Kluyveromyces lactis: one gene and its partner. The protein of the gene in region 1 purifies or fractionates together with the protein of each later gene. This does not show direct contact. Links are inferred from orthologs where the notes say so. Each region holds a gene or a part of one and is shown on either strand. Other genes may lie near its edges.

Region 1 (4,689 bases):
TATACTAATGGAGAAGAATCCACCTTTGAAATGGGGGGAGACGTGTCAACTTTAAAAGCCAACTGAATTCTGCCCTGTGCCCTTTCTCCAGGTATTAGCTTACCCTAAGCATGAACAGCTTGTTGCTTTTTACAATCAAACCACGTTATACGGAAATAAAATAACTATAACAACAAAATTTGTTAAGGACATTGGAACGGCGGGGAAACTTCCCTGCCAATTAGCTAAGGCTCAAGCTCATCATCCATTTAATGGTTATTCCCCCAATTTTAGCAGATAGACGTCTCTTCCATATTTTGGGTTTTGTTAGTGCAGAGATATCAAATTTAGTAGCCTTGAAAAGTCCCTCTGACTTGACAAGACATGACATCCCTAACAGGTTTGGCCAGAGACTACTTTTCAATATATACTAGGTTATGATCGAATTGATAGGTATTCGCAACTTGCCCCTATTCATTGCAGTAAAAGTCATACATCAGTCCGTTTCAACTTGTTTTCTCGTTTCTTTAAGAACAATATATTCTATATCACCGACCTCTGTCATGTGTCACAATAAATCGATAAATTATTAAATTCAGGTAAGTAGAACCCGATGTGAAAAGTACATACCAACTAATACCAGATTGTATTAACTCTTCCTGATCACTGGAGTTGAATTTCCAAACACTCAAGGCTTTATTCGAATTGATGGATTTTGGGACATATTTGTGGTGAATTGATTATAATGTCACATTTATGGGATCAACGGAATAATCCAATATTGTACATATGCGGCTACTACATTCTATTTGTTGTTGTTAGTATCGTGCTATTATTCATAATATACTGTACAGTAACATACTGGGCTAATTCGAAGAACATTTTGGCGGCAGAAGAGCGGTACTTGAATTCTGCACCAGAGACACAAATTTCTATTGACAAACACATGATGATGTTGGATGAACGAGATTTGTATCCCGAACTTAATTCACGAAACGGATTCGAATTTGAAAAGAACGACTTGAACAGATATCCAAATTTAATACATATTGTAAAGTTTAACGCTCGGGAAGAATCAGTGACTTCCTCAACAGAAAGAGACATGACCAGACTTTATATTTGATTCACTATCGCTAAGATATTCACAGCATACACTCTCATATATCCACCAAACAGATACATTATTTGTATATTCATACATACAACATATAGTACAGAACAATATCAAACGCGCTGAACGGCATGGATTAAACGACTTCTAGCTGCCAAGTGTCTTGGGATATGGTACAACCATAAGCATTAATCTATAATTGAAGAAAAGCTTCCAGTTCTTCGATACAATGCTCCTTAAGTTTCACGAGCATTTTCAGAGCTCAAAATGTGTGCGTATTGGTTTCTTGCAATGGTATCTTGTTTCACAACACGATGAATTTGATCAGTGATTTTTTCTACAATTCCGTATGCTTTATGACAACAATCAATCAACGACAAAGCTTCCATCGGCAAACCACCTGCTTTGGAGATTTGAACAACTTCTCTGTTTTTATTAAGCGTCACAGTAAGCACACCATCTCTCAATAGCTCCTCTTTTAAGGAAGCATCGATGATTGATATTTCTGCATTGTCCTCACCTTTGATATTTTCTTCTGTATCGTCTGGATTGAAGAATGAAAACGTCACACAAATTGGAACATGCAAAACACCTAGTGACACAGGTTCTCTTTCATCAATCGGATGTACCGTCACTCTTTCACCAAGAACAGTAACGTCGGGCTTCTTAAAATGAAGTAACCCAGCCATTACAGCAATGCAACTGGCATCGATTAGTCCACCATCACAATCTAAAAAGTGAACATCAGCTCTAAGAGACCAACATTTGGAGCCAGCTATTATGCATAAACCTTCTACATCTAATGCTCCTGATCGTCTTACAGCTTTCTCAATCATCCTACTGATCAATACCTCTTCTTCTCCAGTATTGTTCCCATTCTCAAACTGAGCACCTGCCATCGGTGTAGTTTCGGTACTTATATGGAAAAGTCCTTCAAACGGTCTATCTTCATAAGGTTGTGCAATTTCACAGCTGATACGACAGTGTACCTTTGTGTTACCCATGGTAACAGTCACATCACCGTATGCTTCACCTATTTCGATCTTCACATCTCTGAATTGGTCATATGAACGTCCATCTAATCTTTGTTTAAGCTTTAACGCTTCCAGGATAAATTTGGATTCAGCATTACTGATCTCTATATCTTTTGCCATCACCTCTTATCGATTTAACTATTTTGATATGCGAATGCAAGCTCTCTTCGGCTATGGTTTTCTCTTTCAGTGCTGCTCATCGCAACTCTTTAACTTTTCAAGTGTTATAGTTCTAAATCTTTCATAAGCTTTGTCTCATTTGATATGATAGAAAGATGAAAAAGGAATAAAAACAAAATTGATGCGAGTTTCTCTAGGAGGAAGACCCTGTAGACAGGTATTAAGTGGAAGAAGATCAATTATTTTAGAGCTCAACAACGGCATGTTATGTGAAGCTTTAGGTCAAAATGATAGAGGTTATCCAATACTGATATTTCTACGAAATTATTATATGCCCTTACTTATGTTTTGTTAGTTTTGAAGAATCCGTCAATTCTTCCTTTACCCTTAGCAACCTTTGGTTTCACAACTTTAGCCTTTTGAATAGGTTGTTTCTTTACGGTTTTTGTGCCATTTGGAATGGCTGTAGACATAGCAGCTTTGATAAGGAGCTCTCTTTCCCTTTCTGTTTGTAATGTTTCGTTCTTGTACTTGTCGTATGAGTCGAAACATTGTTTGATGTTAAGATTTGAAGATTCATGTCTAATTAGATCCTGGTATGCGAGTTGTGGGATCAAGGAAACTAGAAGATTACACGACATTATGCATTTCAGAGATGATGCTATATCTTCAGGTAGCGATTTTGGTATTTTAAGAGAAGTAGGGAAGTTGTTGTTGATTTTGATGACTTTCTTCAGTAGCCATTCTACTATCATTTGAGGTTCGATACGATAATACTTGTCACCAGCTTCTTCCACTGTATGTGATATTTTCCCGAGACAACTTTCCCATAATTTTGGAGGTATCTTCTCCCAATTTTCACTGTGATTATTCGTTAATTTCTCTTGGTAATCAGAACTAGTATAAAAGTTAGTATCCATATCGAGTGCGGGTGGAACGCAAGGTGTAATAAACGCTAGATCCTCACTAGTAACTTTGTTGTTCCTATAATAATACCCACATATATTAAAAGTTAAGTCATATTTTTCGGCATATAGTATCGAACCATCTTCTAGTATGTGTCCATCTTTCCTGTTCTCTTCATTGATCAAAAATGTGGATTTAAATGTTTGCGAATCTGAAGTATAATGATATTTATCATTCACTAAATCTCGCGAGCAATTATAGTCACAGCCTTTACTGAACTTTTTGATTTTAAGCTGGTATACTTTATCGTCGTGTACAAACAGTTTGATAGGTTTCTTTGATTCGTTATTCGATGGATGTGGAAGTTCAAATATTTCGACAGGAGAATCCACTGAATTTGGCAAAGCTACCAATAGACATCCTTTCCTTATTACCTTCTCAACAGTCATATTCACTAAGGAAATGTAGCTGGGGATTGTTGTTTGATCGTTAATTAGGATAGTTAACAATGCTTTTTACGCGTTTCGTTCACGTTAAATGTTGTAAATGTCAGTGGAATATACCAAGTATTGGATGAATGTACGCAATTGTGTGCTGCGGCTGTCGTTCTGAATCTATTGCACACTTAATACAGCGAACAGCTACAAAAAGGAAGGGGCATGTAATTTGCTTTGTTATGAGATTTCACTTTTGTTTAACTGACAATTCTTCCTCGTTTATGGATCTGAAATATTATATATATATATATACACTGATTCATATCGGAACTTGAAATTACTGAAGAAGTTTACGCAAAGTAAAATGCACGGCGCGTAATTACATAAAATAACAGCTGTTGGTAAACTCACTCCCAAAAGATGGTGGACTGGATCACCTTCTCAAAATACTTGGTTGCTATCTTGGTAATCGTCGCTAGTACTGTTTGGTTTATCAATTCGGTTATTATTGACTCCAAAAGAGATCTACATACAATTTCGCTGAACGCACAATCAAATGTTGAGTCCGTAAGAAAGGAACATGAAACTGCTATTTACAGAAACCTATTAGTCCCAGCTTCTTTTCCATTGACTACAGGTTTAAACCTAAGCTTAGGATATAGGCTCAGGAATGGTAATTTTGGTGATTTATGGTCTGCAATTATGACAAATGGCAAGTCGACTGTATTGCAATTCCATACCGAAGAAACTACCCTTACAAGAATAAATGGTATAGCAAAACGAATTGTGGTTAAAGTTGAAAGTATAGGTGCTAAGAAGATTGGAATAGCTACGTCAATTGACTCATCAATGGGATTTTCAGTCGGCGTTGCCGGCTTAATGCTGTCGTTGAAAGATTGTATACCTTGGTTTTTACATTCGATTCCGCGAAACGATTTGGAAGTGGACATCATATTTATCAATGACTGGGAATCAGTTAAGTACCTTAATGGTAGTGAAAAGTGGTACCAATGGATTATTGTATGTGATCGGTCTATTAAACATAGGAATGATTATCAAAATAATGTCATCTCATTGAAAGATTTTATAGGAGAGGTGACAG
Region 2 (3,882 bases), on another chromosome or scaffold:
GGTCTCTTGTACAAGTTGTTTTAGTAATAGATTATCCTCGTATAGTACTTTCAAAGCATCTTGTTCTAAAGTTTGTTGAAGAACAAATCTCTCTAAGTTAGGTTCAGGAAGTAGACATGAAATGAACATTTCATTCGATTGTGGCTGTTGAAAGAATTGCTTGTTTGTGGTGACGAATATCTTGCTTATCTTGCCACTGAACTCATCCATTGTCATGATATCTCTTGGGTTCGAATTTTGGAACTCTTCTTTCACCAATTGTTCAATGATACTCTTGTATTGTAGGTATCCACGGTTTAATAACCACCACGATAAGGATAAGAAAGCTTGTTCGTTAACGTATCTCGATTTTTCAGGGTTCGCAGTGGATGCAATGCTCCTTGTGTCCGTGTCAATAGTACCATCGCTGTTTCTTGGGTCAGCTTTTTCACTGGGTAAATTGTTGCTCTTTTCAGTGATCCAACTAGAGAACCAAGATAAGACTGAGTATTGATTAGCCTTCTTTTCCCTTTCCTTTTCCATGGCAGAATTGATGGCAGTATCCAAATACTCTCTTCTTGCCAATATATTCAATTGCAATCGGGTTAAAAGCATCAATAATGATGTGGTATAGGACAAGATAATGATCTTGGTGATAGCTTTGAGTTTCAAATCGTCCCAAAGCTCGGCCTTGGATTTCGTAGACGTTTCAGAAACGCTAGTGGTATCTGCAGATTGCGGAGATTTCGCTGACACACTGGGTGCAGGCGTCATCGCACTCATTCCTGAACTTAAGCCCTCATTTTCCAACTCATTCCCAGCTATTTCACCTTTGGAAAGCTTCTTCTGTAACTTTTTCCCCTTTAGAGCCTCTACAATAGAATCAAGATCGAAATCCTTAGCCAACACTAACGTCATTACCGGCATCAATTCATAAAGAGTGTACAACGAGTCCTGCTGAGTTTGTACAAACCTCCGTTTGATCTGTTCCTTGACAAATCGTTGCTCCGTCATTTTCAAATGCTGCTTGTACAACCATCTTTTACTGAAATAGACCGTAATAGCGCATGTAGCAAATAGCGTAGCAAACAAAACACTAGAAACAACGAACTTCTTTCTGTGTCTCTGAACCAGAGATCGATTCCCAGTCATGATGAGGGGTAAAAAAATAACTTATAACTTAGAGCAATGTAATTCTTCTATTGATTTTCCACTACAGCCGTTGTCAGATTGCGTGTAGAGCTTTCCTAGTGTCGTTGTTTGTCTTGATACTTTATTGATGTTGATGTTTACTTGCTAGTTAGTTATTTTAATGTTTTTCGAATTTTGTTTCCCCCTCAAAGAGCGACAAATTCGACAGATTTAAGAGAAAACATATACCAAAGAGATAGAATTGCGTTGGGTATTGAACCTCTATGGTTCTGCAACTGGTGCCAACAGATATTTTATAGTGTATCATTACAGCTTTATCTTTTACTATACATATTATATGTGTATATGTGTATAATTGGTCAAAAACGTTCGCATGACTCAAATAAAAGATGGATCATATATGTGATGTGTCGAATCTCAAACGAAAACGAAGATTACATCCACCTATTGGCGTTGCATCTCAGTGAGACGTTTAAGATTGGCCAAGTTCTCCAGGATCTGGCCATCTGAGATCATAATTGGGGTTTGCGTATCGTTGCGGAAGTAATCTTCTGCACTTGTATGTGCTAAAGGTGGACAGAGTCTGAATGAACCAGACCGATCCATTTGATGTTGGAAGGGGGAATTTTCCGAATAGAACGCAGTTCTATCGAGTTTGACTTTGAGATGGTTCTGCTGTTCGTCGTTCCCGTTCTTTTGGTATAGGTTCTGTAGAAGCGGTTGCGGTGGCTGTATTCCAGCCTGAAGCGATGATGACTCGTGGTTCAATAGGAAGGATACGTTCATCTGTTTAGAGTTCCGCTGCAAAAGCTGATCCATTTCTGTGACGACTTTCTGCAAATTTGATGCCAAGGTTGACCATGATTCTGCATCGCTTGGCGAGAGCGAGTGTGCTTGCTCACGATATTTCTCACGAACCTGTCGTAGCTGTGTCTCTATATTCGATAAGTCATCAGCGACCATTATCTATGCTGACGAGAAACAAACTAAAGTACTTCTTGAGCTAGGCCAGTGTTGAAATTAAGTATACTGGCGGAGGGTGGATGTTACTTCAACAGTCCAAATAGGACTACTCGCCCTGTATTGAGTACAGGTTCTCCATATATGTGGTATGAATGTGTGTAATGTCTTGCGTTTTTTTTTTTTTTTTTGGCAGGCAAATATGGAATTTTCGCTGGATAAAGAAATAGAAATATTACTGAAGTACTTCTACGTGCGAAACGCACGCAGATTATTATGCGTTTTGTTCCATTGCGAAAAATTCGCAGTATTATGTTATTGATCGAAAATTTTGATTCAGTGAAGAATACTTCATCTCGGTATTATACAGCTTCATCTCATCTCATCTCATCTCATCTCATCGCTGCCTCAGTCGACAACGACAAGAACACGGACCACATACAACTACCAGCATGGAAGATACTAAGAAAATTAAACCATACATCTCGTATCTCAATAAACAGGTGGAACAACTCAGTGGTGAGATTAACAAACTAACGAGCAAGTCATTGGACGAACAACTGTTGCTTCTGCAAGATGAAAAGAAGAAACTTGATCTTTCAAACAAATACGCATATGTATTGAGTTCACTATGCTTTTCATACATGAAAGTCCTCAATATCAAAGACCTGTCACCTATCATGGCCGAATTGGCAAGGTGTAAGTCATATATGGATAAATCTAAACAGTTAGAAGCTAAGAAAGAATCTGAAGAGAAGGATGAGGTGGAGCAAGAAGAACAAGCAAAAAGAGTTCTACAATCTGCGTTGGGAGGTGGCAAAATGGAACCTGCTATCAGTAAAGTCAACTTTCAGGGGAAACATACTAAGTTTTCGACAGAGGCTTCCACCACCAGCACTGATAAGGATGGACTGGCAAATCGAGTAGTAGACGGAACAAAGAAATCAAAACAGCAAAAACAATCTGGTAAAGTATCGAAGAAATAATTCATCTGAAATATGTCCTGGCATGTTCATCCATGTATTCCTGGGTCTTATTCTGGCATTCTATATTAATAATTAGCATCGCATTTTTCACTGACATAACAAGTTGTATAGTATAAATACACTAAAATTGGGAAACAAAAAGAAGGAAATTCCAGTTGGCAAACGTGAACAAGAATTAACCAAAGATACAGGTTTCAAGTGGCAACAGAGAGTTACAGAGACCAGTAAAAGGATTAAAAGAAGTACATTTCAATAGCCATGATATCTGACGAGGATATTTCAACTTTCCAAGGTGTTTGCGGTACAGATAACGATGAATTGTCAAGACATTTCCTTGAGATGGCCGGAGGCAATTTGGAAACAGCCATCTCGTTATTCTTTGAACATGGTGGTGAGAGACAGTTGAACAGCAATTCTGGTAATAATAATGCCGGTGCTGGTGCTGGTGCTAATACAGGGGGTTCTGGCGGTCTGAGTGGCGACGTAGAGTTTGCTGAAGAATTACAAAGACAAGCGTATCAGGATGAAGATCAATATAGGGCTCCGGATCAGGCAAGACACGAGACATTGGTGGAGACAAATGTGTTTCCTAGTGTTTATGGTGGTATTGGAGGTTCTTTTGAACCATTGCGTAATGCCAGGGATATGTTTGACAATTCAAGACCTTCAGGAATTTTTAATCAACAATTAGACACAGACCTACTACGTTCTGGTAGATCTAACAACTACCATCGGGATGACGATGATGACGATAGTGATTCTGCGTTTACTGATGAAGAAAATTATCCCAGTAATGAGGATGAGT

The links. Proteins that work in one complex are often made in the same cells at the same time.
Region 2: the proteins of RRP45 (region 1) and LRP1 purify together in Saccharomyces cerevisiae (affinity purification with mass spectrometry; 4 studies listed by BioGRID). This does not show direct contact. The link is inferred for Kluyveromyces lactis from reciprocal best matches to the Saccharomyces cerevisiae genes RRP45 and LRP1.

What each region holds. Positions count from the first base shown.
Region 1 is NC_006039.1:951,612-956,300, reverse strand, and holds RRP45 (exosome non-catalytic core subunit RRP45), read right to left. Parts: upstream 2,245-4,689; coding exon 1,327-2,244; downstream 1-1,326. Other genes in the region: KLLA0_C11121g (uncharacterized protein), read left to right, coding at 725-1,102; RNH202 (Rnh202p), read right to left, coding at 2,586-3,599; DDE1 (Dde1p), read left to right, coding at 4,008-4,689. UniProt on the Saccharomyces cerevisiae protein: Non-catalytic component of the RNA exosome complex which has 3'->5' exoribonuclease activity and participates in a multitude of cellular RNA processing and degradation events.
Region 2 is NC_006041.1:1,509,060-1,512,941, forward strand, and holds LRP1 (Lrp1p), read left to right. Parts: upstream 1-2,543; coding exon 2,544-3,077; downstream 3,078-3,882. Other genes in the region: PEX3 (Pex3p), read right to left, coding at 1-1,131; KLLA0_E16985g (uncharacterized protein), read right to left, coding at 1,576-2,094; DNA protein crosslink repair co-factor UBX5, read left to right, coding at 3,336-3,882. UniProt on the Saccharomyces cerevisiae protein: Required for exosome-dependent processing of pre-rRNA and small nucleolar RNA (snRNA) precursors. Involved in processing of 35S pre-rRNA at the A0, A1 and A2 sites. Required for activity of RRP6 in 7S pre-rRNA processing.